Linked DNA regions of Drosophila melanogaster. The protein of the gene in region 2 interacts with the protein of the main gene of each other region in a pairwise test. Each region holds a gene or a part of one and is shown on either strand. Other genes may lie near its edges.

Evidence for each region.
Region 1: the proteins of CG13643 (region 2) and hig interact in a two-hybrid assay, tested with the Drosophila melanogaster proteins (one large-scale study listed by BioGRID).
Region 3: the proteins of CG13643 (region 2) and Mst57Da interact in a two-hybrid assay, tested with the Drosophila melanogaster proteins (one large-scale study listed by BioGRID).
Region 4: the proteins of CG13643 (region 2) and Ent1 interact in a two-hybrid assay, tested with the Drosophila melanogaster proteins (one large-scale study listed by BioGRID).

What each region holds. Positions count from the first base shown.
Region 1 is NT_033778.4:9,243,002-9,251,235, reverse strand, and holds the start of hig (hikaru genki), read left to right. Parts: upstream 1-3,986; 5' UTR 3,987-4,341; coding exon 4,342-4,471; intron 4,472-6,825; exon of another isoform or gene 6,826-6,904; coding exon of another isoform or gene 6,905-7,065; intron 7,066-7,124; coding exon of another isoform or gene 7,125-7,439; intron 7,440-7,496; coding exon of another isoform or gene 7,497-7,714; intron 7,715-7,766; coding exon of another isoform or gene 7,767-8,037; intron 8,038-8,096; coding exon of another isoform or gene 8,097-8,197; intron 8,198-8,234. Other genes in the region: Cyp4p3 (cytochrome P450 4p3), read right to left, coding at 6,905-7,065, 7,125-7,439, 7,497-7,714, 7,767-8,037, 8,097-8,197.
Region 2 is NT_033777.3:24,900,947-24,909,346, forward strand, and holds the start of CG13643 (uncharacterized protein), read right to left. Parts: upstream 5,059-8,400; 5' UTR 4,961-5,058; exon of another isoform or gene 4,781-4,960; intron 4,531-4,780; 5' UTR 4,433-4,530; coding exon 4,393-4,432; intron 2,479-4,392; coding exon 2,264-2,478; intron 2,103-2,263; exon of another isoform or gene 1,669-2,102; coding exon of another isoform or gene 277-1,668; exon of another isoform or gene 170-276; intron 1-169. Other genes in the region: CG10845 (uncharacterized protein), read left to right, coding at 277-1,668.
Region 3 is NT_033777.3:25,828,731-25,834,637, forward strand, and holds Mst57Da (Male-specific RNA 57Da), read right to left. Parts: upstream 3,170-5,907; 5' UTR 3,147-3,169; coding exon 2,919-3,146; 3' UTR 2,845-2,918; downstream 1-2,844. Other genes in the region: Mst57Dc (Male-specific transcript 57Dc), read right to left, coding at 724-954; Sfp96F (seminal fluid protein 96F), read right to left, coding at 1,380-1,481; Mst57Db (Male-specific RNA 57Db), read right to left, coding at 2,052-2,174. UniProt on the Drosophila melanogaster protein: Transferred from male to female during mating and may affect egglaying and behavior after mating.
Region 4 is NT_033779.5:353,158-361,311, reverse strand, and holds Ent1 (equilibrative nucleoside transporter 1), read left to right. Parts: upstream 1-3,437; 5' UTR 3,438-3,625; coding exon 3,626-3,889; exon of another isoform or gene 3,890-3,983; intron 3,984-4,120; coding exon 4,121-4,421; exon of another isoform or gene 4,422-4,474; coding exon 4,475-4,945; exon of another isoform or gene 4,946-4,999; coding exon 5,000-5,394; 3' UTR 5,395-5,747; downstream 5,748-8,154.

The DNA.
Region 1 (8,234 bases), on a different chromosome or scaffold from region 2:
GATCTTAGATACCACACATATAAAAATAGAGTTAATTTTGAGAATTTAATACACCTAAAGCCAACTTTTAATCCAGTTGATTTGATATTGTGGTATTGTAACCCATAAACTGCATAATGTCTCTGAAAAACTTTAGCTACAAAAATAATTCCATTCAACTTAGCGAGTTTCGACTGCAGTTGGAACGGAGCTTGGTCCGAAGTTTTGCCAGGATGCCAAGGATATTCAATTAGGCTGCTCGATAGGGGGCAGTGTGTACCTGGGAATCAATGCGAGGAAGCAAAGTTGCTGCGACTCCCAGCGAGGCGAAGCCATCGCAAACTGGCAACGTAAACCAGATGTTGCGGTGAATGGCCATTATGGAGCTTGTCAATGCCAGTTGGTCAGGAGAGGCGGCAGCGGGAGTGGTAGTGGTAGCTGGAGCGAAAGGGGGCAAGTCATCCGAGGCAATTACACTGGGACGACAAGGACACCGAAGGCAGTTGCTACTATAACACACACACACACAGACTCATACTCATACTCATACCAACCCCGCTGTGCGTGAGGTTACTTAATGCTGTTTACTGGCCAAAGTTTGTCCTGCCATTGGCCATTGACCACTGGACGGAAGTGGCTTGAGTCCGGGAGTTGGGCACAACATTACTTGCACTGGCTGGGTTTTATTCTCGCCATAACCATTGCTCCATGGCAAATGGCCCATTGGAGCATTTATGGCCAAGTTCCATGCGTCGGCATTCCCCCGACTTTTTCATTCAATTGCTATATCTGGGCGGCTTTAATTAACAATGTTTTTATAAGCACTTTAACCAATACTTTTTTATATAGAGAAAAATGCTATGTGAAGTTCCTTGGAGATTCAAGCTATAAAGGTTAAAGTGTACACCTTTTCCCCCAATATAATTTTTGCATTTCCCTATCCTCTTCGAAAGCATTTACCCTCCAAAAACGCAGAAAAGCCACATGGACCACAATTGAAGGGTCGTTGTTGTGGCTCGTTGCTGCCACTTAACGTATTTGCCACGGATTCACCCACCTCCCCACCTGTTATGCCTGCACTGACCGCTGAACGCTGCAGGATGCAGTCGTTGAGGGAGCTTTAATCGACCAAACTGCCACTGCACCTGCGGGATCAATTGAGATTTATTACTGGGTCGTGTCATTTGTATTTCGCTTGGTTCCCACGGCTGCTTCTGCAATTGTGCACATTTTATGCTGCTGGTCAGCAATTAGACACTTATTTAATTTGCAGCGGGAATTTCCAGCTGGCACTTCGGATTTGCCCACTGACCCGACTAGTTGGGCGTTTTGGGCCAACAAGCCGACAGCTGTGGTTAACTTTGGCCAGCAGAGAATGCCAATGCTAATGCCAATATGCCCTTATTCCAACCGAAAAGTGGATCGCTAGCTCTTCAAGAACTTTTTGCCACCACATACTTTGCTCCCAATGACAAGCTGATGATTGTATAAAGCCAATATTTGTATCTAAATATCTGGTAGTGCAAAATAATTTGTAGCTGCGATTTGCGCAGATTGTGGTCGTGTTGGCTTCGCTCTTTAATGACATTTTGAGCGTCTTAATGACTTAATGGCCCTTTGGTCGTCAAAACGCTTTTGCCGCATCATTGGCAATGCAATTAACTCGAGCATTTGCTGGTGCCCGCTTTTTGTGTGCCAAGTGTCCTGGCGTAATTAGTTGGCCACTTCCGCTTCCACTTCCTTGCCGCCATCGCATCCGTGTCTGTCTGCGCGAGTCCTTTAATGGATTTCGCCTCTGACTGCGCGCGAAAATTCATTAAAACTCGATAATTGCATGACAAGACAAGATCCTGGAATTTGGCCATCGGGTGCGAGTCCTTGTTTATCCCTGGGCTCGCTATCTGGCAAATGGCATTAAGAACCAGTTGATTTACTTGCGATTGTTTTCCGCTTGGTGCACTGAGCAAAATAAGGAGCATAACATATTATCGAAGAGATCGATGTTAAGAAATCTCAGAATATTTATTGTATATTTGAATATCTAAAACCTGAATTACAACTTAAAGAATATATTATTTTGACATATGTTCAAAACAACAAGGAATTTATTTAAAGCAATAATTTCATTAAAACGAAGAGGAGATTATTTCATTTAAAACAATTGGATGTGTAGTTATTAAATCAGCTGCCAACCAAGCTGGCCAAAGTAAATATTCCTTTTGCGTGACTTACTATGCATATTGTATTATTCATTCTACCGAAATGAGGATTCGGTAAGCCATGTATTTGTTGCATCTGCCCATCGCACAGCCAGTAAGTAATTGTCTTGATTAAATAATTTAATCTGCTAAATGCAGGCATTTTAATCTAGAAAAGCTGCGACCATGTCAGGTGCACGCACTTCATTGGCACCCAGGAAATCATTGGTTATTAGCCTTCGGCCCGTCGGCATCGAATTGAGTTGGAATACCAGAGATGTAATTTCAGCCTGCGGTTGCAGGGCAGCAAATTGAATTTTGCTGTAAAGCCGCTCGTTGCCAGGAGGCAGGATAAACATGCTAAACGTATAAATTTTCAGCCTGATTGCATTCCAAAGTTTCGGGCCACTAGGACGGCATGCCAGAAACTATACACAAAAGATAATGCCGCTGCACAATTGGATTGCCAGCTGAGGGGGAGAATGCAGCACACAAACATTCATTTTCCACTCGACTGGAGTTGAGCGCGTTTCGCATTCGCATTCGCATTTGGTATTTCGCATTTCAGCAAAATTTCAATGCGACAGACAAGAGCGACCCAGACGGTATTGTTACGGTTACGCTTTAGGACCAGGACTAACCTGAACCTCCAATGAGTGACATTTATCTTGCGAGGACAACAAGGGGCGTCCTGTCGGAGCATTCATTTGCGTAATTAGTGGCCAAGTGGCATCCGCAACCTGGTTGCCAAATGCCAAATGCCATTTGGCTTCGGTCGCAGAGCAGAGGCCTCAAAATCACCGCAACTGCTGCTTGATTATTGGCCAGGACCAAAAGGAATGGCCAGCAGACAGGCGACGTCAGCACAATTGATAGCATACTTCTCAGGGCAGCGGCAGCTGAGGAGCAGCAAAGGTGAGTCCCTTGCCGAGCACTTGGCTCCACTGCACTCCTTAGCCACAATAGAATGTACCCACTTTGAATTTGTAGTAAACACGGAAGCACACTTTTGAATTTATAAACATATAATTAGCTACAAAAAAATTGCATTTAGTTGCTAAGCTTACCGCCAAGTAAAAATCATAAAATTTAAACTTTAGCAGTTATTGCCAATGTATCCAAAAATGTAATTCTCATATTTATCTCCTACATACAATATTTCAATTAAATAATTATAGTCGTCTAGTTATTGTACCTTATGTGCTCATGTTTTCGGGCTATATAAATCGCAGTTTTAAGCCAATAACATTTTCAGCAACGATTTCCCCTAGTGAATTAGGAAATAGTAATTGATTTTATGCGATTGATTCACTGCTGCACCAGTAAAAAGTATCTGCCTGAACTAAGGAAGTATAATTAAATTAGTTTTAAACTGGAAAGTAACCGAATCAACGTGGCAAGCAAGCGGAAAACTTCATTTGTAGCTGGGAATTGGCCACGTGGGTGGGCGGTGTTCCTTGGTTGGTTCGGGGGGGAGTGGGAAAAAGGAGAGCTACGTGAGAGTTACAAGGGCACGCACGCAGACACACGGGCACAGCGAAAAGCGAAAGCAGCGAGAGAGGAAAATCGGAGATGACGAAAAACAGCAACAGCAACGGCAATGGCAACAGCGACTAAGCAAAACATGGGCCAAACCAAAACAAAAACACACGATTTGCCGGCAAAATGCACGTGACACATCCTTTGGCGAGCTTCGTCGAGTGCGATCCTTCGTCGAGTGCCGAATGCAGCCGATTGCAGCCGAACGAAGCAGAGCCGAAGCTGCGCAGAATCCAACGAGAGGTATAAAAGCGAGACGCTCGCCGCACTCGTGGCATTCGATTGTCGTCGCTCGAGAGGATAGGTGCCCAGCTTCGAAAAGGATAAAACCCCGCAAAGGACTCTAAGTAAAAGTGAAACTTTAAAGCCAAAGAGCACACACACATACACATACACGCGCACACGTTGCATACAGTTTGGCGCGAGTGTGGGTTACTGCTGGCGGTACGCCAGTGTGTGTGTGTGAGTTGGCCAAGTGGATTTCTATTTTTGGCCCATTAAGAAGTCAACTCGTGAAGTGCAGTGGTGTTAAATTCGTTGCTATTTGAAAGGACTCATCGGGTTGCTTAACAAACGAAAACAAAACAACGCCGAAACTCTGGCAATCGCAATCTGATCCTTGGACATGTGGAGCAGGCAGCGAATGCGCCATAAGCCGCTTTGGGCCCTAATATCCTTGACCGTTTTGCTGCTGGTCCTGGACAAAAGCAATGCCAACACGGAGCCCGTCGAGACCAGCACCACATCCGAGCCAGGTGAGTCCTAATTGCCCCGCACACACGTGGGCTCCTCCGTTTGACCTTCACTCACTGGACGGACGAAAAGCGTAAATAAATTATGACGGGCCGCCTCGAACTCGGTCACTTTATTAAATGGCCTTCCACGCATCCATGGAAATCGGACAGTTCACAGCTTCCAGCTCCCAGCGATTATCACACACGCTCGAACAAAAAGGATATAAATCCGGAGTAGAAATGAATTCGTAACCGGGAGGGGAAGCTACAGAGCGCAAGAGCAAATAACTGGCAGCAAATGAAATATTTCACGGCATCTGCGGCACAAAGGCAATCAAAGCGAGCCGAGAGCCCATGGGCAACCTTAATCCCAATCAGAGTCAACAAACAAGCAAGGGCATCGCGAAAACGGGGCACTGCGGAAAATATTTGGCAACAAATTTTTAGGTTGCTTTTCATATTAAATTATAAAAGACATGCTTATAAGGTGCAAGGATAATGGCTTTTATTATGAATCATTCAAAGCAAGACATCATGAAGTCTTTAAAGTTAGTTTTCAAACGCAATCACAAACATTATTTTTCAGTAAGAATAAAGAAAAACATGATTGTCATGTATGACAAATCGAAATAAATTTTCGTATAGCATTCACATAAATATTTAAAATCATTATGTATTTCACACCTTGTAAAATAATTATTTAACCTTTATTTCGAGCGTATTATGATAATTTATTAGGTAAGAATTTAATGATAAATTTAGTTATTTTTGATCAAATATATTTTCAATTACATATGTATATTTATACATTATAAATTATGATTACTGAACATTTTGAACATGTGAAATCATTAATAAGGCGCAAACTTAATGCATACTTTTGATTGTTAGACCTTTGCTCCTAAATCTCAACGAAACTTAATTCCGCTGGCAGTCACCAATAATTTCTCTCAGTGCACTAGGGGAAGGGGAGCTGAAAGGTAGCTCGGGCAAGCGGCAATTGCACGAAAGTCCGTAATGAAGTATGGCAGGCAGGCCGTCCGAGGCTGGTAATAGAAATTAATAGCGTCATGTGTGAGTTTTGCGAAAGGGAAGGAAGACTTTGGACGGGGGAATGGGTGGATGTGGGGTACAAGGGACAAGGGAAGTGGGAAAAAGGATACAGGGGAAGTGTAAAGTGCCCGACAGCGACACGCAGATGCGCATAAAGTAATTAATTCACTCTGCCTCCATCGGCATCGCCATCGCCATCGCCATCCCTCCAGTCGGTTGCCTTCTAATTTCCCCTGGCAAATCGACAGGACCAGCTGTTGAGCTGCTGAGCTTTTGGGGTTTCGTCCTTCAGTCAGGCAAAAGTGCGTCGCACTTATCTTCTTTTTTTTTCTTTTGTGGCGGATATTGCGACTTCTTATTTCGCCTTTTGGTGCGCAGTTTGGCAGTCAGTCAGGTGAGAGGGGTGCCGATTCTTAGATTTTCTGAGATCCAAACGTTCGCTTGACACATGTGAAAGCGAGGGAAATTTAATTTACATGACTCACAAATGGAATCCATTTAATGTTGACTTATGGCGACGAAGCACTAGCGCACAGAGCACTAATGAAATATGCAGTAGCCGAGTAGCAGCTAAAACCAGAGCTGCCTTTCACCCATTTCCATGTGCTGTCCCATAAATCCTGGGTCCCCAGGATGGATGATGATGTTGGAACGAGTTGGGCGCACACTAAAAAATATGCGTTTACGATAATTATTTTCAATAGTAGAGTAGTAGTAAGCCACATATAAAAGAGAAGCTAACTAAAAATATCCCTTCGAAACATGATATAAATATTTCATAAAATAAATAGGAAGCCAAAGATAGATGGAACTTATTTCAGTGCACCACACACAGTGCATTTTGCGAGCCCATGGTCACCCATGTCTTTTTGCCACATTTTATGTGCTTAGAACAAAGCTGAGTCTGCATTATGCATGCAAATGGTATAACTGAGTAACGAACTGTCAAAATCGCAGTTAAAGCAAAAAGGAGTCGTTGGGAAAGGGATGTAGCCTCGGCAGGAGGAGGAAAACCAAATGACAAAAAGTCGCCAGCGCATTATGCATTTGCATTCCCATATATGTGAGCTAAAGGACAGAGATTACTTGACTTTTCCTGGGCTGCCTCAAAAATAATAGGAGGGGTAGGAAATGACAGGGAGCTCCCACTGTGTGGGAAATGGGAGTTGGAATTGTAATAGCTGCTGGAAAAGAAGAAGAGAAGTGCTTCTACCCGCCAGGGCATGAATGATTTATAGGGCGGCAGCTGTCGAGATGCCAACGATTATCGGCCATAAGCTAGTCACAGGACATTTTTGCACCAAGAGAAAGAAGAAAGGAGTCTTTGGATGAAACTATTGTTCACTGTGCACTTTATGACTAACAGAGTTCCGTGAACAATTCCATTCCGTTAAAGCTGCCTCATTTTCTTCTCACGAGCTTCACGTGAATCTGGTTCTTGGTCCGCAGTGTTAGTCCAGTTTGAAAAACAATAGTTTTCGGATCGATTTCTGGTAGAATTTGGAACTGCTTCAGTAGGGCCACCATTAGGGTTTTCATCTCCTGCATGGCAAATTTTTGACCTACAAAGAAAATGATATGTTTATCCAATCATTCCATGAGAGTAAGCAATATTACATACCTATGCAATTCCTCTGACCAGCACTGAATGGAATATATGCGTAGGTGTGACGATTCTGCGAGTTTTCGGGCAGAAATCTCTCCGGGCGAAACTCTTCGGGAGAATCCCAGTACTCGGGATTGCGATGGATGTCGAAGACATGGACAAAAATCTGGGAGCCCTTTGGCAAGATGAGACCGTTGCTCAGCTCAGTTTCCCGCGTAGTTTCCCTACCCATGGCGGGAACAGAAGGAAACAGGCGCATGGTTTCCTTGATAAAGTATTCCAGATTCTTCAATTTGTTCAACTGCCCGATGTTCAAGATGTTAAGCTCATCTGAAAGATTTTATATGCTTATGAAATCGTAAGTTTACTAATTTCAGCTCATTTCACCATCTATGTTAGCTTGGATCTCTTGGTAGCATTTTTCTTGCTCCTCGGGATATAAAGACATGTTCATTAGTCCAAACATGAGCCCAATTGAGGTAGTATCGTAGCCCTCAAACATCAAAGTGTCCACCTCCTCACAAATTCCAATGTGATCGATGAGGCCATCCTTTTCGGCAAGAATAAGGGTGTCCAGCATGGCAAAGCGCTTTTTACTGGTAAATCTAAAGTAATCGGTATTGTTATGGACTTATGGACGACTGTCAAATGCCTTACAATTCATCTTCAGCGGTCTGAGTGTTTCCTCTGCTATCTATCTCATCATTCAGCTGATCTCTCCTCTTGGCAATAATCTCGCTGGAAAATCCGTGGACCACATCGAGTGCAGACGCGTAATCCTTTTCGGCAAACATCTTGAATAGTGTATCGCTCCATAGAAGTGGGTTGCTCATGCGACGAATGAAGCATTCTTCGATCTGACGGAAGTTCTCCCGGTACCGATCCCCCTTCTCGGCCATCTCGTCCAGCTTCACACCCATGGCCGTCTCTGCAGATATGTTTGTGGTTTTATAATTAACAAAACTTTTAAAACGTATTGCATCTCACCACAAATGCTATTCAGGGTAAATCTGGGAATGACTTCGTTTAACGAGATGATTGCCTCATCATTGCCTTTGAATTGCTCTAGGAACTTCAGACTCTCCGTTCTAGTAAAGTTCATTTTTTTTTTTTTTGAATAGTTAC
Region 2 (8,400 bases):
AGTAACCAGAAGCGATCGGTGGCCTGCCGCAAACTTTGGCATTTCCACTTGGCACTTGGCATTTGGCTTGGCCGCAGGGAAGCGTCGCAGGCAGCGAGAAGTGAACGTTCTCGATCTGGTTCTCGATGGATCTACGGTGCCAGTACTGTGAACAGTAGGCTAATTGACAGGCTAGCGTCCATTCTATCTTAAAAAAAAAAATAGTAAAAACATACACATCACAGCCGCGCACAAAACTCGTTTATCTTATTCCGTTTGATTGTTCCTTTTCCTTTTATGTTATGCAGCCCGGAGATAAAGTGCCCTCATCCCGGTGAGATGAGGGTCTATCTGTTCCGCAAACTCTTGACATCTCCCACTGACTTGCAACTGGAAGTAAGCGCGGAGGCAATCAGCGAAGTGCTTGATCAGGTCCTCGGTGGACGCATCAGCACAGTCTTCAGCTGTGGCAGGATACCATTTAACCATGGAGCCGATCCGTCGGATGTGGTCAGCCGCATTTTGAACGAGCTCTTCACCCGCATCTACGAGTTGGAGACGAACATGGAAGTTCACGTTTCGGTGCGTTACGTCCAACTGAACGGGGAGACGAACGACCTGGTGGTGAACCTCAAGGGTTGCAATCGCCGGACGACCCGAGATCACTTTGTGGCCACGTCCCACGGGGTACACGCCTATATCGCGAGGGTCATGGACAAGGTGGCTGAGGGCGGCGATTGCCCACACCTGATCTTCACCGTCCATGTGAAGCAGACGAATGGCGATCAGTTGCGGAAATGTTGCGGTAGACTGCAGCTGGTCCACCTGCAGCAACTGACGGAGGATTCGCCGCCACTCGAATCGGACACGCCCCTGGACACGCTTATCAGTTTGTTCCAGGTACTGGCCAACAGCCCGAAGACGCACATACGGTACTATAACATTCGACTGACAAGGCTACTCAATCAACTAATGGGCAACGGGAGCAGGACGGTGATAATCAACTACGCAGATCCACCGGAGGGAAAAGACGACCCGGTGACACCGGCTCCCACTCCCTCGTCCAACTCCAATGCCAGTTTGCCCGACGAAGTGTGGAGACGACTGTTAAGGCAGGAGCGGGCTAAATATCGCTGTCTAAGGAACAAGGCTTTAGGAATAGTTGTGGACAAGGAAGAGCTAGAGCGATTTCTGGAAAGCCTTGAAGCGAGTGATAGCTCTGAGGAGGACATTTCGGATGGAGATTTTGAGCAAAAAGTTGAACAGAAAATGCTGGCAATTCGCTCAGAAGCAGAAATGTCCATTAAAAAGCTAAAGGGCCTTCAGATGGACATAGATTATTTGACGGAGAGAAACTGCCACTTGGAGCAGCAACTTGACCAAAAGAACAGTCAACTGAATATGCAGAGCAATCTCATGCTATCCATTCACATGGAATTGAGAGATCAAACGCGAAAATTCCAGGACAAAATCGCCGAGTACACGGACAAGTTCCAGGAAATGTGGGAACGTCAAAGGTTGGATATCCAGTATAATGAGCAAAGACAGCTTCGCCAGCTGACCAAATTGTTCGATTCCCTATGCCAGGCAACTCAACGATGGTTGCACCGGAAAACATCGCGTCTTCCGCAGAAGGATGCAGATGAGCTCCATTCGCAGACGAATCCGGTGGAAGACCCTAGTTTGTAGTACTTTGCACTCGGCTCCCAGCGAAACCCCCGCTTAAAGGTCAGCCAGTCAACCGTCTTCTTCTTCAGGTTTTGCCAGCACCAAAGCCATCCGGCTATCCGGACCAGTCACGAACCATTTGGAGCCATCTCACACATTCCGCAGTGCATCGCATCTGACTGTGCCACTTTGCCATTTAGCTGGCGCGACGGAACCGAGCCAATGGCTGTCGGCAAGTTTGTTGCCTAAGTCTTTCGTTTTTCCCGCCAGTTTTACGCTGTGATAGGTTGCATCAAAAAATTCGCACTATCAAATTTGCCTACATCAAAAATTCTATATTGTCTGCTTAATCTGTGCGTATCTCTTTATAAAATCTTAAAATTGTAGGTTAATGTAAGTTTGTCATTTAGGTGGTAATTTTTGATCAATAAACCATATATTGAAATTTGTAAAGTATTTTCATTTTGATTCTGTAGAAAATATTATTGTCAAAAAAAGGTAGTATTTAGTACCCATATTAAATATATCATTTCTATGCCAATGTCGTTTGCTACATGAGCCACTGCTGCCTTGATCTCAACCAGAAGCACTTGCACCTGGGCACAACATTACTCACCCCCACTCCGGGCAGCTTGACGCAGACGTGGAACATCTGGCACTGGGTCTCCGGATCGGCATAGTAGCCACCCAGGATCTTGTCGTGGCAGGTGAACTGCGTCTTGGGCATGTTCTGTAGGCTGTAGGTGGGCCAGGGCCTTCCGAAGGCCAGGTCGTCGTCCTCGTCGAGCAACTGGGCCTGCGCGTATCCGTATCCACTGCAAAGTGTCGTTGCTGCAAGAGTGGAAACAATATAAAGAAGTCAGAAATCGTGATCCGGTTAGGTCTGCTCTTCAAACGGCACCTCAAGTGGGGCCAGAATCGAGTCGAATGGGTATTTAGTGGGAACAGATGCTGGTGCCGATCGAGACGATGCTGCTGGTGATGGTGCCTGGTGCCCTGGTGGTCAAGTGACCTTCGGGCCGCATCACTTTCGCTTACAACTGCGAGACGAGCTCGTGATTTATGTGTGCCGGAGCACTTGCTGCGGTCCAAGGCTGTGGAGCTACTAACTCGGTTCTGTGAGTGCTTGGGACCGCTTTTTATTTACTTTTTCGGAGCATCGATTGGTATTTGCGATGGCGAGCGACATCATTAACATTTTGGCCAGCCGAACGATATGCGATCGCTGTGGTCACAAACGGATCCACTGGATCTACTGGGCACATAGGGGTCGCTCAATTAAAATGCCAAGTCAATCAAATTTACGGATTACGCTTGTCGGACATGTGTACATTGGGCATTAAAAGCAAAACAGACTCAGGGGTCTGCCTAATTACCCTGAGATTGAACAATGTATCATTGTTGTCTATGGCTTTTTATATACATTTAGACATATCTTTTTTTTTTTGCATATATTTTTTTATTCTTCGAAGCTTCTGTTCTGCAGACAGCGGAAGATGGTTTCGCTGCAATTAAGGCAAGTGTAATTGTCATGGCAAACTGCAGAACAAAGCTCCTCTTCTACGGCTGCAAATTGCAGTCGCAGGTTGCATAATCCCCCAGTGCGCCCCCATTTATCATGCCAAAAAAAAAAAAAAAAAAAATTGGTAAAGGAAACCCAAAATGCAAAACAAAGAGAAAACAAGCCATCCAGCACAGTTCGAAGAAAGAAAGACGCTGTGGCCGAAACTCGACTCTGATTCGCATTTAATTCAAGTGAATTTCAAACCCAACTTTCCACCCCAGCAAAGCAGCCTATTGTTTGGCAGTGAACTATGACTGGGCAGATGGCATGGGGCACTGGCAAAGGCATCCCAGGCAGCTCTTTTGTTACCCCCATCCATTGTAGATTGTTCGATTTCGATTTCAATTGCTTGGTTGCTGAGCTGAACCTACAAATTGGTCAAAACTTTGGGCCGACCTAAGCTCTCACGCAGTTCAAATCCCCTCAAGCCACTGTGCTGGGCGTTGTCCCACTCAAGCTCTCACTGAAAAAATATAATCTACAGTATGGTAATTATGTTTACTGATGACCCACTCTTAGCCGTAATTGCCATTTCTCAGCCTTGTCTTCATTTTTGCCTGCTGCAGGGGCTGCCAAGCGAATTACGCTTGATTTCAAATGTGATCGATATGAAACCCATTGAATCCCATTAATTTCTTTCGCGATGGACCTTGAAGCAGCGCACTGTATCTGTATTTCATGTGTTCAAAAACAAAACCTAATGAGCATGCGATTTTTTTTTTTTTTTTACCGATATGCTATCATTTATGTAGAGAAGGTGATCGTCAGCAAATGGGATCACAAAAAGCAAAACATAGTTTTTAGTTAGAAAAACGTTTGGAAATTTTGTACTCAATCGAAATCGAATTTCTACGTTTTTCTTAAAGTTGATGCCTGTTTTCTAATCTACGAAATTGCTTAGGGTTAAGCTTATATTTTTTTATATTTAAAATTACATTTACTTAGAGGGAAAACATAAAAGGGAAAATTTTGACACAATTCAAATGTAGTTTAATAAATCCTAACCCTTCTTTGAACATGTACATTATGAAATAGAAAAATATTTTTTAAAGTATTTAAGATTAAAAAAAAACGTCACCTTAATTTTGTAATGATGTAGTTAAAAAAATTTAATTAAAATTTAACTGCTTAATCCAACTGCTTAAAATAATATCCTTTTTGAGATTCAAACTTTTACTCACCCAGGAGGAAGGCAATCATTGCATTTATAATGCTCAGCATGTTGTATTAGTTTTTATAATCCAAAATCAGGATGATATCCAATAAGTAATCCAGAGCAATTAAGCTGATACTAAATGTCGATTTTCACATGGATCGCACTGCAAAACAAGAGGGCACAACACCAGAAATCTTATGAGTATTGAAAGGGATTTGATTGCAAAACTCCCCACTGCACAAGATTTTTGCTTCTTTGTTACTTTGTTTTTTTTTTTTGTTTTGTATTTTTGCTTCTTTTTTTCACTAACTCAACGCGAAAATCATCGCCATAAAAAGTTGTCCGTCATGTAGGAAATGAGCAGACAGCAGGGCAAAATTCTTCAAACTTCGATCTTGTATGTAAATGCGTACGAAATGTGTTTCGCAAGGTGCGAAAACTACGGAAAGCCCATTTAGAAGGTGCAGCGAGACGTTGAAGACGTCTGCCTCCGCCGCACTTGGCTGGGCAAACAGCGGAAAACACAGAGTCACAGCAGAACCACCAGCCAGCAACCACCAACCACATCCACTGAGGAGCAACCAACAACCGACCGGAGGAGACAGGCGAACCAGGCGAGTTCAGCGGGCAGAGCGGGCTCGCGATGCGCGATCTGTGACTTTATCGTTCACGTTGTCGAAGCGAAATGATTTCTGAAAGCGAAAGGAAAACCACTTGGAGCCCATCGGGGCGCTGCTTCCAAGGCAGCAGCCGCACTGGTGCACAGTGGGGCAAAAATGTGTGATAATCTAATTTATCCCATCCCGATGATCTAAACTGAAATACAATACATCCATTAAACTACAAACGTTTTAAAGATTAATATAAGCATTTGTATTTATGAAATCATACGTATTTAATAGGTAAATATAAATATTTAAGGTATTTAAGAGTTAAATTAAAGCTTACGTTTTAATAGAATTTTAACATCTTGTTGGTTTAGATTTCTTAAAATGTTAATACATATAGTTGAAAGGTTAAGTTTCTTTCTTAAAGTATATTTTGTATATTTTAACTACTGTGCGTCGTCGACGCAAGCAGCGCATCAGCGTTCCAGCTTCGTCTCGCATCTTCGTGGTCGTCTGCTGTTCGGTTTTGTGCTTGTTTTTCCACCGCTTCTTGGTTCTGCTGCTTATTTGGTTGCGGCTCGCTGTCGTATGCTTAACGCAAATTACGCATACGCAACGTGTGACCATATGACACTTACTTGGTTGCATTGTACGCGATGCACCGCCTGGCAGGAGTCGTTGGCGCTCATCACTTACGTCAGCTGGCCGCAGGGCCCGCTCATGATTATGGGCAAGCACTCCCCCGCCCGACCAACGACCCCACATCAATTACACCCGCTGTACACTGAGGAAAAAAGTAGATGAACAAAGAGAGGTTTAGATTTTACAAATAAATTTGATCAAAAGTACAACAAAATAAAAAACTTCTTTGGTAGCCCACATGAGCCTTTTCTCTGGTTTCCGAATTCGACATATCCTTACAAATATTCTAGGTTATTAAAATCTTACTTCAAATTTATTTCCTTCTCGAACAATATGATGTTCTTGATTTTTGCAGTGCACTTGGTGCACCAAGCTCGTTGGTTGCATCTTCCGCTGGGTATTATGTCATAGCCGTGGCGGGGCTTTGTCATTTGCTGCCCCATCTGCCGTTGCTGCCGCGGCTGCCATGTCGGGGCAAAAGTCGCGGTGCCACCGCCAATCCGGTTATGTGTATATGGGTGAGTGTGGCATGGAGCCCCATGGATGGGGGACTCCGGGTGACGGTTAGGCTGACGGCATTTGCTGCAGTGTGGGAATTTACACGCCTGCTACTTTTGGCCAGATCTTTGGCGGATCTTGGGCGTTGCTGCTTAGATTTTCCATATTTGCTGCCCAGGAAAGATGGCTAGCAAGCAACCTCAAGCTGTCATGTCACCTGGAACTGAACTGAAGTGCGCCAAACTGCACTAAGCTGGCAGCTTGGCATTTCAAAGTTGAGGTTGCCTGCCGGAAAAAGGCCAGGCAGCCAAAGTCATGCAGATCAGCAGCTGGCGAAAAAATGTCAACTGGAGGATGACTTTCAACCCTGTGTGGTATGGAGCGGAGCGGAGCCATCTGCCAAAAAAGCTGTGGGAAGTGGCCGCCATCTTTCTAATTTGCTGCCGATTGCGATTGTGCAAGAGCTGTAATGCTGTTTGTAATAAATGTTTGTTCGCCTTGCGATCCAACTCCTGTGTGTGGCAATGACTCACGCGATCCCTCTGCGTGGGAAAGGCCAGCAATAAGGAAGTGCCAGATGCCCAAGTCCCAATTGTTATTGGAAGATGAGGTCCGACACGATCCATCGCTTGGCATTACACAGCATCTAAGCGTATTGGATTCTAATTAGCGGGCGCTTTCAATTAAATACCCATCTATTCGAAACTCAAATGGCCTCGGACTCAACGCCTGACATTGATGAATGTGCTTGCCGACAAAGACACGAATTCGGTGTTCCACCTGGCAGCTACAAGCTACAGTACACGCCAGAATCCATTGGCTGGGTAAATTATTTAATTTTTACTCATTATGTAAGCCCGATGTGCAGTAAAAGTGCCGAAAGCATTTGCACAACGTGTGGGAGCCGGTGGAAAATGCATTCACCAACAGCAGCAGAAGCTGCAGCAGCAGCTAAAATTCAATTAAGCTGAAGATGCGCCTGAACAGACTCTCGACTCTCGATCCCATCCCATCCATCCCACCAGCAACGCGCCAAAAAATGCCAAAAAAACCATTCAACAGATAGTGCAAACTTCACAGAAAGAAAAAACTGTAATATTTTAAAATCAATCTTATACTAATTTAAATAATGAAACTATACGAACACACAGTTAAGAAATTAGCTTCAGAACATGCTACAAATAATTTTGAACTTGATTCAATTGGATTCACCTTTATTTCTTTTTCGCTTGCTATAGTTTTTTTTCTGCGTGCACTAACGAGTGCCGAGGATTGCGATTGGGACTCGAGCGGGAATTGGAAACCCAGGTCGTTGAGTAATTGTGCAGCAATGAGCATGGGCTGCCAGCAGATTTTCCCGTTGATAAAGTGCAGCTCTTGGAAAACCTTTGGCAGCGTACCGCTCATAATAAGAAATTGCATAGGTACATATAAATGTATTTACACACATATAATTTCGCATTGGCTGCCTGAGATTGGGATGGGGACTCCGACTCATATTCGGATTCGGGGATTGCACGTGGCAGCGACAGCCGCAAATGGAGACGGAGACGCAGCTGTGCAATTTACAGTTTTATGGATGCGACGGCGCTTGCGAAATCAAAGCTCAGCGGCGCTCGCTGGGATTGGATTGGAATGGGTCAGTCAGGCAGTCGGATAGTGGTCAGTGAGCGGACTGCCTGGCTAATTTGACGCATTGCCGTGATGCGGCACATTTGAAAATATGCAAGAGAAACGCAAAAAGTCTCCATAAAAACGAATGACTTAGGCAACGAACTTGCTTTTAATCTGTTGTAAGAGATCTTTTCTAACTAGAACTTTTGTTAATAGGCATAGCATTATAAAGAGTTATTTATGTGTCGGGTTTTATAGATATCTGACAAGTCATATAATTTAATTATTTTTTCCGTCTCGAATGTATTGTATTAAGACATGCGTGAACTGGTTTAATTCTAATTTGTAGTCATTCTCAGAACAAAATTGACTAGATCTTACCCAATTAATATAAAATTAATTAAGGTGCTGCATCATTCTGAATTTAAAGCAAGAATTGCTATATATTAATTAATTGCTATAAATATTATGTGGTGTTGAAAACCTAAATATAATTTAAGAATTTAGTTTGCGATCTACATATGTTAGGCATATAGGCAAACAGGTTTAATATCTGCGCCTATTGACAGTCAATAGATTCAAGCATTCTAAATTGCATTTACTGGCACTCGTAAACCGACTTAAGCTGCCATAAGCAAACCCAAAACACGGGGATCGCGCATTCGAAATTT
Region 3 (5,907 bases), 930 kb from region 2:
TTCATGGTAGGGCTATATAAAAATAACGTACAGACAATTCAAAAATATCACATATATAGTTGTAATATGTTATATCTGGCTAAATCAGTGGTAGTTCTTTCTTGTAAATGTTGAAACACTAGAAAAACTTTGCCCATCTCTGTTGAAGGGTATGGGAATAACGAACTATGGCAGGAATATGAAGAAACTCTGGATACATTCGAGCCAATGGCGAAAACGGCAACACAGAACGGCATTCTCTGTGCTTGCTTTTTATTAGAATGCGTCCATGGAGACGTGGGCGCCAGCCATTGTCTGGCAGCCTCCTCCTCCATGAATCCCTATCGCCTTCAGAGCGAGTATATATTGTATAATATATATTGTGCCTGTGCAGCTCGCTATACATTTCTTAGCACGTAGTTACCTATGGCAGCAACTGGAACAACAATGCCACTTGAAACAACAATAAAAAGTTTGTTGAATACAGATACTCGTATATGTGGACAACTCCCTATGCCGCCATGAAAAAAGAAAGAGAAATAAAATATAAACTTTCTACACCTAACTGGCAAAACATGAAGCCATAGCAATCTAGTTTGTAATGTAAAGCTGCTTACTAACTACGTTTATATTTTAAATACATTTTGTAGCACATATTTCAAACATTTAATCGCACTTTTTGGTCTAGGTTTTAATTGGGCATTATCTTTACTATTATTATAAAATTCTCTATGATGAGGCTTTTTACACTCCTTCCGGTTTCCAAGTCTCGACGACCGCGCTAACATATTGATTACAGTTAGGCGGCAAGGTTAAAATCCTGGACTTAACTATTGGCTCGTTCTTCTTTAAACAACGCAACATGTTGTGCATATTTCTTTCGGCCTTTGCCACGTTTTTAATGTCGGGCGTCACACCGTTAGATCCCAGGACTCCACACAACAGAAGCAGGATCAAAAAGTGCGTTCCGTGCATCTTTACAACTTGGTGAATGCTAACGATTGATATTCTTTGTAGTTGCTTTAAATAACATGAGATGAAATCGTTAATTGGCATAACAAATTGAATTGGTTAAAGGAAAATATGTTATAGATATTCGAAATGGTTTATTACAATAGGGGTTATATAACCTAGTATATGACCAAAACATATTTCTCTACTGCTTCGGATTTATCAACCGATTATCGATCCAATACCAGGACAATTATATTTTATATCTCCAGTTTATTCCAAATATACTATATATTTAAATCCTTGATCAATGCTTTTTAATATACATTAATTTGAGAATAAAATAATTAGCTTGTACACAAATTAAACGATAACAAATAAATAAAAAACATAATAAGTTCACATTTTATAGAATCTTTTATTCTTTTTCTCACAACATAGAATGTTGTTTAATTAATATTTATTACATTATGATTCACATTGGAATCAGCATCTTTTTGGGCCACAGCGAAGCCAATAAGCAGCAAAAAATAACCCGCAAGGAACTTCATGTCTATCAGAAGAGAATAGAAATAAAACACAGACCCGGTTTTTATATAGTTTATAAGCCAAGTGTTGCATAAGCCAAGCGAATCGTTTAATTCTTTTAAACGGTGGCCAATTTTAATATCGTTAAATCATTTTTCTTTCGGTCGTACGAAAATCAAATCTTTTGAATATTACATTTGGTAAAATTGGTTTTGCTACATTTGGTTTTGGTACATTTGGTTTTGGTACATTTGGCATTGGCACCTTTGGTTTCGGTATCAGCGCTTTTTGAAACACTTGCGTTTTTAGCATAAAATATATATATTAAAATTTATATTTAATATAATTAGGCAAAAACATCTGATATACTGTCAGATTGTGACTAGTCGTAAAAGCCATGACCATTAATAAGTTTTGGCCAAACAAAGCTTCGAACAAAAGGTTTATGAAAAAATATATATGGTATATTCTTGTATACTAAAATAGATTTAATATTTCAACTTAAAATAAAATAAATAGGCCATTGCTATTACATGCAAACAATTAAGTAAATGTTTTATTGAATTCTGTGCCTGCAATTATCAAAAGCTCATTTACTTTGCGGCGCTGGGACTATTGATGTGGATCACATTCTTGTTTTCGTTGGTGTTCGGATCCGCAGATTGGGCGAAAGCCACACCGGCAAAGAGCAGAACAAGTGCAGAGGTGATCTTCATGTCGGCCAGTTGGAATTGGAAGTAATGACAAGCTAGGGGAGTGCTCTTCTTATAAGGCCTGGGTTGCGTAAGCGATACTAATCTAAATGCCAGACAATTTGAAATTAATTGCACGATGAAAGAAAAAGAAGTGGAACTAATTCCTTAAACCCGAGACATAATAGACCGATTACAATTTAAATAACACTTGATTCCTTTTGTCAATCTGACAAACATTTATATAATCTGAACTTACCTGGCACGGCGATAGAAATCTTTCTTGATTTCATAAAATTAGTATTAGTCTTTAGCAAGCATTTTTAAAAAGCACGCCAATGAAATTTACTAAGCCGAAAAAAAAAGTTTCTTCTTGAATTCAAATTCATAATCACACCTGTTTCAGAAGGATATGAGAAAGCAGTTGTCTGGTTACTATCTACCACAGTTCTCAATGACTTGTCGTGATAACAATAGTCAGTTAAAATAAAATTATTATTTTCCCAACAATATTGGGAAACGTAAATGAAATTTACTGAACCGAAGATACCTTTTTGTTGTTTGAATTCCAATTCATAATCACACCTGTTTCAGAAGGATCTATGACAGCAGTGGTCTGGTTACTATCTACTCCCATGTCTGGTTGGGGTTTCAAAAGTCAGTCCATGTAGTTTAATATTGTAATACATAGATTAAACACTCTCATAAACATATATTGTGATTAGCGATCCATTTTATTAGAAGAAAATAACCTCTGACTCATAATATTTAACTTTCGGCTGGAGCATCTGCGAGTCCTGCTTCAGGAGCAGCTGGAGCTGCGGCAGGAGCTGCGGCAGGAGGTGCGGCAGGAGCAGCAGCAGCTGCTGCGGCAGGTGCAGCTCCTGGCTTCTTGGCACCGATGACGATGACGTTGTGATTTGTATTCTGGCTCTTTTGGGCGCTAACCAAAGCCAGAACAACCAGCAAAGTGACGAAAAGAGCTAGGAACTTCATATCGGCCAGTTGGAAGTCAATTTAAAAGAAATGAGGAAATGCAAGACCGCTTATATAGGCAAAAAAGATCGCCAAGTGAAACAAATCTTCAAATTCGACACGCTTGACCTTATTATACGTGGTTCATTCGAGGAAAATAATGTAATTATCATTGGCATGTGTTTGATTATGCTGATATATAAAAAAAGGAATTAAGTGGAACCCAAGCATAAGTTACTTAAAATATAGAGCATAAGCTTTCAAAATATCATACAAAATATTTTTTTCTTGCATATTGCTGTTACAATCACAATTTCGTGTGTGAAGTGAAACGAATTTGGCTGTTAGTTAACCGTAAGCTACGACGTTGAAGTGCAGTCTAAAAATCTCATAATGAAAGTGTCACGAACTTTAATCGTTGTAGGTTCTCTGCTCCTGATTCTCAGCATCGTATTAACCTACAAATGGATAGCATACAATCATGCTTACCCGAAAGCACAAACAGAACTAACGAATTCGACGAAGAAAGCAAATCTCATCGATAGCAAGGCTAAGAATAAAAAGCACGTGCAGAATTCCTTAGCCAAAAAGGCAGCCAAGTCGGTGGCCAACCAATCCAAGTTCAAATTGGACAAGGTTTCTAAGAAAATTCCAGTCATACCCCTGCTCGATGTTCTTAAGGCCAAAAAGCAGCCAAGTCGTGGACAAAATATATTCTTCCATGAAACCACGAATTTCAAGCGGATAGAAAAGAGCTCTGTGGTCCAATTGACGGCACGGGAGGCCTGTGCCATTGAATCGGCCGCCCTTCACAATCCAGGCCTCACTGTATTTGTACTTTTTGCCGGCGCCACTCATCGCCCATCAAGTGGAGATCCGCTGATCAGGGCTGTTCACACATGAACACGAATATATTTAAAGACTTACAATTTTGGGCTCCGTTCATATCTTATGTAAATGAATCGAGAGCGATAAATTATATTTAGGATTTTGTTATCTAAGGCGACATGGGTGCATTGCTCAAAAACATGTAATTTAAGTGCACACTACATGAGTCAGTCACTTGAGATCGTTCCCCGCCTCCTAAAATAGTCCCTTAGTGGGAGACCACAGATAAGGTCCTCGCCGCTCAAGATAGGCAGATGTGCCCGAGCGTGGGACCTCGATAAGGCGGGGACTATTTACTTAGGCCTCTGCGTAGGCCATTTACTTTAAGATGCGATTCTCATGTCACCTATTTAAACCGAAGATATTTCCAAATAAAATCAGTTTCTTACAAAAACTCAACGAGTAAAGTCTTCTTATTTGGGATTTTACATTTGGTCAATCGAGCCTTTAATCGACTCTGCAGTTTCCCCCTACCAAAGGTAAGGAACTCAGAGAAAGGCCAGCTCCTTTAAGCATCTTACAGCTAAAGGTAGCAAAAATAAGTGACTCTTGTTTCCCCCTACCAAAGGTAAGGAACAGAGTATAAATATAAAAAGCAAAAGATACAAAAGAATCTTTTATGTTTTAAAACAAGCACCTTATAGTCTATAGCTAAAGGTTGCTTTGTGTACCATTATAAATTGTGGTAAGGCGTGCTTGAGGCCATACATCAGCAATTGTGGAATTAAAAAGTGCATAACAAAAGTGCCTTATAAATGCTCTAATAGCATTAAATCAGCTCATAAATAGAGTGCAGTGTATATGCCATAAGAGCATAAATTAAATAAAAAGTGCCTGAAAACAGTGCCTTATAAATGCTCTAATAGCATTAAATCAGCTCATAAATAGAGTGCAGTGTATATGCCAAAAGAGCATAAATGCCGAAATAAATGGCTAAAAAACAAAAAATCTGACTGGACTACAAAAATAATAAAACGTGCCAAAAAAAAAAAAAAAAAAAAAAAAAAAAAAAAAAAAAATCATCTTTAAACATCGACGGAGCCTTAAAGAAGAGAAGGAAGTCAAATTCAAAGGAGCCTCTACCAGCAGCAGAAGCAGCAACAACAGCAGCAGCAGAAGCAGCAACAGCAGTAGCAACAGCAGCAACAACAGCAGCAACAGCAGCAGCAACAACAACGACATCAGCTAAGTCAAAACAAGAATTTTCTGTTTATCCAAACACACATATATATATAAATACATATAAAATACATATACACGTACTATATATATTAAGAAATTACAAAAAATTTTCAAAATGATGTCAGAAAAGACTATTCAATTCCTTAAGAAGCAGTCCGAAATTATTTTGGAAATTAGAAAGTTGGAAGTAAAACCAACATTAACAGATGTAGAAATTCTAAAATTAAATGAGCTTCAAAAATGTTTCATTGCTAATCATAGCAATTTGTTAAAGATCGGCGTTGTCGATCATGAATATTTTAACGCGAAGCAGTATGATTTAATAATGATGGTGTTAGAAAAAATTAAAAATAAAAATGAAAAAATTAAGGGCGAGTCGGTAGAAAACACTTTCCCTAAATCAAACACTGTCCCTAAATCAAACCCTCCCCCTACATTAAACCTTGAAATGCGTGGTCACCCTGAAAAAGAGGGTATAGCACAAAACAACGCTTTAAAAGTAGAGCAGGCATTTCGTAATAATGTTGGCCAATTTCGAGTATATCTAGAAGATACGTCTAAACTAATAGACAGTAGTCCAGATTTCCTTAAAATAAGGAAAAATAAAATTGAATTTTTATGGCATAAAATAGATAACCTGATTGAACAGGTGAATAGTCATTTTGAGAGTTCGCTATTCGAAGAAGAAATTAGCGAACTTGAATTTGACAAA
Region 4 (8,154 bases), on a different chromosome or scaffold from region 2:
TAGAAATTGTATTTTTTTTCAATTTTTCGCCAAAAATCATGATGTTACCTTTACCTTTCCAAAATTTCAAAAATTGGTAAAAAATTTTTTTTTTGATATCATTCAAAAAGTGTTTTGGATGGTTAGTTTAGGTCAATAGCTATTCAAAACAGTAAGAATTTTGGTTGTGAGACAATTTTAAGCCAAGTTTCGAAAAATGATTGCAATGAAAGTGTGGAACTTAAGCTAATCCTAACTTTTTGTCATAGAAAAGTCATTATTTTTCGCATAACATTCCAAAAAATGATCGGAGAAAAAAGTGATATGCCTTGTTGAATTCGTAATAAAATTTCCAATCGAACTGCATTCCAACTTAGAAATTGTATTTTTTTCCATTTTTCGACAAAAATCATGATGTTACCCCTTTCCAAAATTTCAAAAATTGGTAAAAAAATTTTTTTTTGATATCATTCAAAAAGTGTTTTGGGTGGTTAGTTTAGGTCAATAGCTATTCAAAACAGTAAGAATTTTGGTTGTGAGACAATTTTAAGCCAAGTTTCGAAAAATGATTGCAATGAAAATGTGGAACTTAAGCTAATCCTAACTTTTTGTCATAGAAAAGTCATTATTTTTCGCATAACATTCCAAAAAATGATCGGAGAAAAAAGTGATATGCCTTATTGAATTCGTAATAAAATTTCCAATCGAACTGCATTCCAACTTAGAAATTGTATTTTTTTTTCAATTTTTCGCCAAAAATCATGATGTTACCTTTACCTTTCCAAAATTTCAAAAATTGTAAAAAAATTTTTTTTTTGATATCATTCAAAAAGTGTTTTGGGTGGTTAGTTTAGGTCAATAGCTATTCAAAACAGTAAGAATTTTGGTTGTGAGACAATTTTAGGCCAAGTTTCAAAAAATGATTGCAATGAAAGTGTGGAACTTAAGCCAATCCTAACTTTTTGTCATAGAAAAGTCATTATTTTTCGCATAACATTCCAAAAAATGATCGGAGAAAAAAGTGATATGCCTTGTTGAATTCGTAATAAAATTTCCAATCGAACTGCATTCCAACTTAGAAATTGTATTTTTCCTTTCCAAAATTTCAAAAATTGGTAAAAAATTTTTTTTTTGATATCATTTAAAAAGTGGGTTGGGTGGTTAGTTTAGGTCAATAGCTATTCAATACAGTAAGAATTTTGGTTGTGAGACAATTTTAAGCCAAGTTTCGAAAAATGATTGCAATGAAAGTGTGGAACTTAAGCTAATCCTAACTTTTTGTCATAGAAAAGTCATTATTTTTCGCATAACATTCCAAAAAATGATCGGAGAAAAAAGTGATATGCCTTGTTGAATTCGTAATAAAATTTCCAATCGAACTGCATTCCAACTTAGAAATTGTATTTTTTTTCAATTTTTCGCCAAAAATCATGATGTTACCCCTTTCCAAAATTTCAAAAATTGGTAAAAAATTTTTTTTTTTGATATCATTCAAAAAGTGTTTTGGGTGGTTAGTTTAGGTCAATAGCTATTCAAAACAGTAAGAATTTTGGTTGTGAGACAATTTTAAGCCAAGTTTCGAAAAATGATTGCAATGAAAGTGTGGAACTTAAGCTAATCCTAACTTTTTGTCATAGAAAAGTCATTATTTTTCGCATAACATTCCAAAAAATGATCGGAGAAAAAAGTGATATGCCTTGTTGAATTCGTAATAAAATTTCCAATCGAACTGCATTCCAACTTAGAAATTGTATTTTTTTTTCAATTTTTCGCCAAAAATCATAATCCAAAATTTTAAAATTGGGTAAATTTTTTTTTTACCATTCAAAAAGTGTTATGTACCGAATCCCGTATATACGGGATAAATTAATTAATTAATAATATTAATTTTTCCGATGACAATGTAAATATTAAGTGCATGTATCCCTCGTCAGCTTTCCTGCTAAACGGCGGCTGTCAAGCATTCCAGCCAACTGCCACTTGGATACCCAAAAAGCCAGAGATCTTTAGGAGGAAACCAGAACAAGATCACCTCGGGTGGTCGGAGGACGTCACTCAAATTGAAGTCCGGCAAATGAGATTTGCCCGGCACCGGAGTGTAGAGCATGCAGAGAGGGCGAATGGAATCCATATCCGCAGCCCAATCTTCATCATCTTCGTCTGCGAGTTGAAGTTGTTGGATTTTTAATTAAGCGTGGCCTGCACCCGAGGCTTTTCGTCGAGTAGCTCTTCGGGACACGGGAAGTACGGCGATCTCGGCGGAACAGGTCTTGTTAGTAATTTTTAATTTGAGCTCTTCTGACAGCCAGCTGTCATATAAATTTAATTGAATTTACATTTTTATTAATTGCCAAGTCTGCTAGTGAGCCCAGTCTCGATCTCGTAGTGCTACCCGTTGGCATGAATGGGAGATGAGTTGCTTAAGCCGACTGGCTACTCATCAGACCATCAGCCCATCCACATCAACATCCCCATCCACTTCCACTCTCTGAATGAATTTAATTTGAGATGATTTGTTGATGGTTTCGTTGTGGTGATTTCTTGCTGACTAATTTAATGTGATTTTTAAATTGCCAGACCGAGGCAGAGTGTGTGGCCTGCGCAGGGGAATCAGAATCTCATCGGGAGATTGATTGGGCTCATGGGAGTGGGGGCAGCGTTTTTACGGAATTAATGAGATGACACGCCTCTCGCTGGGATGCGAAACCCCCTCGTGATCATTATGAACTAATCTAATTTGCAAGCCCGCGATGACAATCGAAGACGGAAGAGAAGTCCCCTCGATCCTTGCCCACCTGGGCAACAGCGCTAACGAGGACGCTTCTCCTCGAAGGCCCCCTCCAGTTTAATTCGCAAATCAAACAACCGCAGGGCAGAGATCGGAAATTCGCGCATAAGTAAATTAAAAATAAATTTATGTCCCGACCAGTGAGGGGGTCAGGAAACGCATGTCCAGAGGGAAGGAGCGTGTGTTAACCGGTTTCGGGACGAACGCGAATGCAAATCCAATTAAAATTTCGCAAGCGATCAATGGGCGAGGGGTGGAGGGCGGATCGCATCCTGCGAATGGCGCTAAGCCGTAAAACGAAGCTGTGCGCTGATTTAAAACACTGCGGGGCGTGCTTATTGATTAAATACAAATTGCGTTCATTCATCATCAGCTCTAGGGTCTGCTTGATATTGGTGTTTTTATTGTTGCTGCTCTGGCTGGCAATTAAATTACGATTTGAGGTGGATGCTACGCTCGTTTTGCAAATAAAATCCAATTTCACAGTCCTCTAAAATATAGGACTAAGATGCAAAACTAAGATGCAGTTTGAATCCCATCACATTTCGCGCCAAGGGCTGCCAACCTGGGTGAACGGTTTTGTGGTGTTAGTGCGATATCTTAGATATTTTCATTTAATCGATTCCTCTCGATAAGCCATCGATATTTTTTGTATAATGTCTTGCTTTGTTGTTTACAAATTCGTTTTTATGTTACGCAGTTCGTCCGTGCTAAATGATACACATGAAAGTAAATTGCATCAGATTAAGTTACATCGAATACTTCTCCACAATTACAGATGTGAATAATCCGCCAGAGGTGTTGTAAATTTATGAATACCAAGGGCTGCGTACAAAACAGTAGTGCAATTCAGTGGCAATGCCAGGCACCAGTGACACACGACGACTGGTGGACGCCCTGGACGAGGATGACGAGATTCTGGGCACGGAGGGCAGCTTCGTTCCCGCTTTTCGTCCGCAGGACCACCATGCGGATGAGCAATGTCTCATGGAACGCCAGCAGGACGAGGTAGTTTTGGTGTCCAACGAACCCGAGAGTGGACGACTCTTCACCTACCTCGTGTTCTACCTGTTGGGCATTGGTACCATGACCCCGTGGAATTTCTTTGTGACTGCGGAAGATGTAAGTTTAACGAGTGGAAATTTCCGCACCCGCATCCTAGTCAATTTAACTGAACTTCGGACATATCAATTCCAAACAGCTGAACAACTGGGCCAAGCGCAATTCTAAGGCGCGGTGCTTATCAGCTTTGTCGTCGTTTCTTTACGACCCACACCCAGACGAAAACTCTCTTTTTTGATTTTCTTTGTTTTCCGCTGACTTACGCTTTAACCCTGTTCGCTTCTCTTTCAGTACTGGAAGTACAAGTTCCGGAATGCATCGATTAATAACACAGACCTGGAGGAAGAGCTCACCCCGTTGCAGAAGAGTTTTACCTGCGACTTGGCTCTCACGGCCACTATTTCTGGGACTACATTTCTGCTGCTAAACGCCATTTTCGGACACCATGTGTCCCTGCGCACCAAGATGTTAGGAACGCTGTGGATGATCCTCATCCTTTTCGGGGTTACAACTGGCTTCGTGGAGATCAACACAGACACGTGGCAGGAACAGTTTTTCCTAATCACTCTCATCATTGTAGTGCTGCTAAATAGTGGGTACCATGAAGTACTCCTTGAGTGTTTACTTAATATTTATTATATATAGTATCTGCGGCTACAATGTCGGGAGCCCTCTACGGAGTCGCTGGTCTATTTCCCTCCGAGTTTATCACCGCTGTGGTTAGCGGACAGGCTCTTGGTGGTATCCTCACAGCCCTGGCCTTCATTCTTGTGCTTGCATTCGACACGGGTCCCAATACCACTGCATTCATCTTCTTCATTGTGGGAGGAGTGCTCATCCTGCTTTGCATTGTGTGCTACGTAATCCTGGCTCGAAAGCCTTTCTTTAGGTATTATCTCGAAGGTGGCGACAAGTACAAGGTCATCCGGGCAGTGCCCTCGCACAACCGGAATGGAAGCGCTGAGGGCTTGCCGCTTGAGCCTATTTTGCGTCAGGTCATGTCGAAGATCTATCTGCATGCCATTTCCCTAGCGCTCCTCTATACCACGACCCTGTCTGTCTATCCGGCAGTTACAGTGCTTATGCAGTCAGAGTACGGCCACAGCGTGTGGACAGGTAAACAGAAAACCTATTCTTTTTGTTCGTGCCTCATATGCGGTGTTCTTACAGATGTTTATTTTCTGCCCGTCGTGAACTACCTGATATTTAACTGCGGTGACTATTTTGGTCGTCTGTTTGCTGGCTGGATGGAGCGACCATTAAACCAGAACACTTCGCTACTATTTATTGTAGTGCGCATGGCGTTTGTTCCGTTATTTCTATGTTCAAACTCCAGCGAACACAGCTTTCTGCCAGTTTTGGTAAAACACGACTATACTTTCATAGCGATGATGGTAATGTTTGCCTTGTCCAACGGATATTTTACGAACATACTACTTATAATGGCGCCTAAACGCGTAAAGCAGCATGAAAAGGAGCTGGCTTCGTCGATAATGGCAGCTGCTTTGAGCTGTGGCATGGCTGTGGGATCACTGCTCAGCCTTGTATTTGTTCAAATGCTTTGAATTAGCCAACAAAATAAGTCTGCCCATAGTGCCTTCGGGAGTTTCAGAATCTTAAGCATTATAGTGATAGTTAACTTGATATTGGTTGCTCTTCCAACTACTTAGGGGGTGTTAATGTTTTTACTTTTGTTACAAGTCTACTGACTGAAATTATTTACACAGCGAAATTTTATTTAAATTTTTTCCAAAACGAAGTGTTATTTAATATTTTGAGTTATTTTGATGCTGTGTGTTGTTTTCCAAATTTTACTCATTTTTTATTTTAACAAGTTTACTATATCGGGATGCCTAGATTTAAGGTTTAAAGTTTTCATTATATACTAGGAATAAGACGATATTAAAAAAATTAGAACAATTAATTTTTCTTGTTTAACGTTTATTTCGGGTTTTCTGTGGATCACAACAACAATGTGGATAGATTTTATTGGATTGCTTTTGTCATTAATCATTGAATTAATTAATGAACTCCATCGTAGCGCGGTCTGTGAAGAGTTGTGTTTAAAATATACTTAGACTAGAAATCTAGTGGCGAATTGTAGTATGTGCATATATCGAGGGTATACTGTACCTATAAGTACACAGCAACACTTAGTTGCATTGCATAAATAAATGTCTCAAGTGAGCGTGATATAAGATCACCCATTTATGCTTTAAGCTAAGTCAGCATCCCCACGCTGGCCGCTGGCCATATATGCGCATAAGCTCTCTCTCTCTCTCTCTCTCTCTCTCTCTCTCTTATACATATATATATACGCTGCTCTTCTGCCGCTGTCGACGGCGGCGCAGTCGCAGTATTTAGGTAAGATTAGACACTCTGTAGAGGTTAAGCGGGCAGAACCGTTTCTGCTACTCGAAGAGATAAGAAGAAATAAAAAGGTGGCCTGACGGCTGCACCCAACTGCAAGGAAAACACGTGTTCTCAATTGGTGGCATATATTGGTTTATTACATGGCGACCGTGAGGCAGGAGCCTGCGATCTGAGGACTACTGAGGAAATGCTGCTAATATTGCCGATTTGATTTGGGAATTCTAAACAGCGACAACAGGTGTGAGAGGCAGGCCGCCCCTTACACCAGTGCGGGAGACCTAGAGACGGGACACTGATGAAAAAAAAAGAAACAAAAATACTGAGTGAGTAGAGTGTGGTAATGGGCAAACGCGGATGTCAGGAAATCAAAAATAAAGGTATAGCACATATTAAGTGGCTATGATATACAAATAAAACACCGCCCCCATGGTCAACGGCACAGAAATTAACTGCCGAATTAGACTTTCTGAAAGAAAACCTCCAGCAAAGAAAGCCGAATACCACAACTCACTCAGCAAAAATAGAAATAATCAATGAAGAAATAACTGAAAATTCAACATCACCCAAGCCGAAAAGACCCGACGTCTGCATGAACGACTGCCCTCGACCATTGTAAGCCGCAACAGCAATTAGCACGGCATCCTGCGAGGGTAGGATTAGGATAAAGGATAAAGGATTCCACCGGCGCGCCGCACATGACAACAGCGAATGTCTACCAAGCAGACGTTCGAACACCCTGCTCCTGTCGAGCAAAGGGATCTGCCAAGTATCAAAGAGGTAATAGAGGTAGATCCGTCCGCGGGACCAAAGCCCTTGACCATACAAGAGTACAAGGCACGGACTGCAGCGAGGGAGCAGCCACCTAAAAAGAAGAGGGGTGGCCGCCGGATTAAGTTGCTCAGCGCCCGGAGGCTCAACATCGAACTACTGAAGACGGCAACTAATGAGGAAGACCGGCAGCGCTACAAAGAGCGCCTTGCAGCCATCAATCAACAACTTCGTGGTGCGAAGTAAAGCGGCGGGCTGCGTTATACGCCATAGCCTCAACCGCCCAAATATTATATTAATGTTGTCGATGCGGTTTCCGCTGCAACAAAATTACTAACTTATCAGGGACCCATTTCATAACTAACACATTATACTCAGTCCTAAACTTAAAATAAGTAATAATATTGTAAAATTGCAAATTGCAACCGATGTAAACTGAGTATAATGAATTCATCTATCAAGTAAAAATATGTTTAACAACAGTTTAGACCTATTAAAATTTCGAGCTATATTTATATCTGATCGAGATAACAATAATTGACCAATTCTCAAAGTTAAAATTCTATTTGTACTTTTGATATACAAATAAAGACTAATTTTCCCCATATCAAAATGGGACATAAGTCGTGGATACAACCCCACAGTTAAATTCAATGTACTTACTATTTTTGATTTTAGTTATCCTATCAGCCTTTTAACCTGGCCTTAAAACTTTATCAGTTTCACAAAAGATCGTTGAAAAGACTTACATGAGTCGAGCCAATGATTTAGACAAAATCTAATAGAAACTACACCAAAAAGGTACAAGTGCGATTACATCGCTAAAAGGTACATACATGGAATGGCTAAACTTAACCATATCCATAAACAATATTAGAGATGCTTTTGATAAATCCTATAAATGTATTAATAAAACCGCGCTGATCAAAACTCAGACGCTTATTTTTCACATAAAGGTATTGATAACACAATACAACACATTACAAAACCTAATAGTAACAAACAAAAGCAAACTCACTGAAGAACATAAAGTCCAATGCTTCAAAGTTCTCAGTTCATTTGGTAAAAGACTACATAATACCAGCGTTAGACACAGTATTATAATAGAAGTCCCAACAGAACTAACCAAAATAGCAGAATTCGACGAAAGCCAGTTAAGAGACTTGGACGAGTCGCAGCCGTTA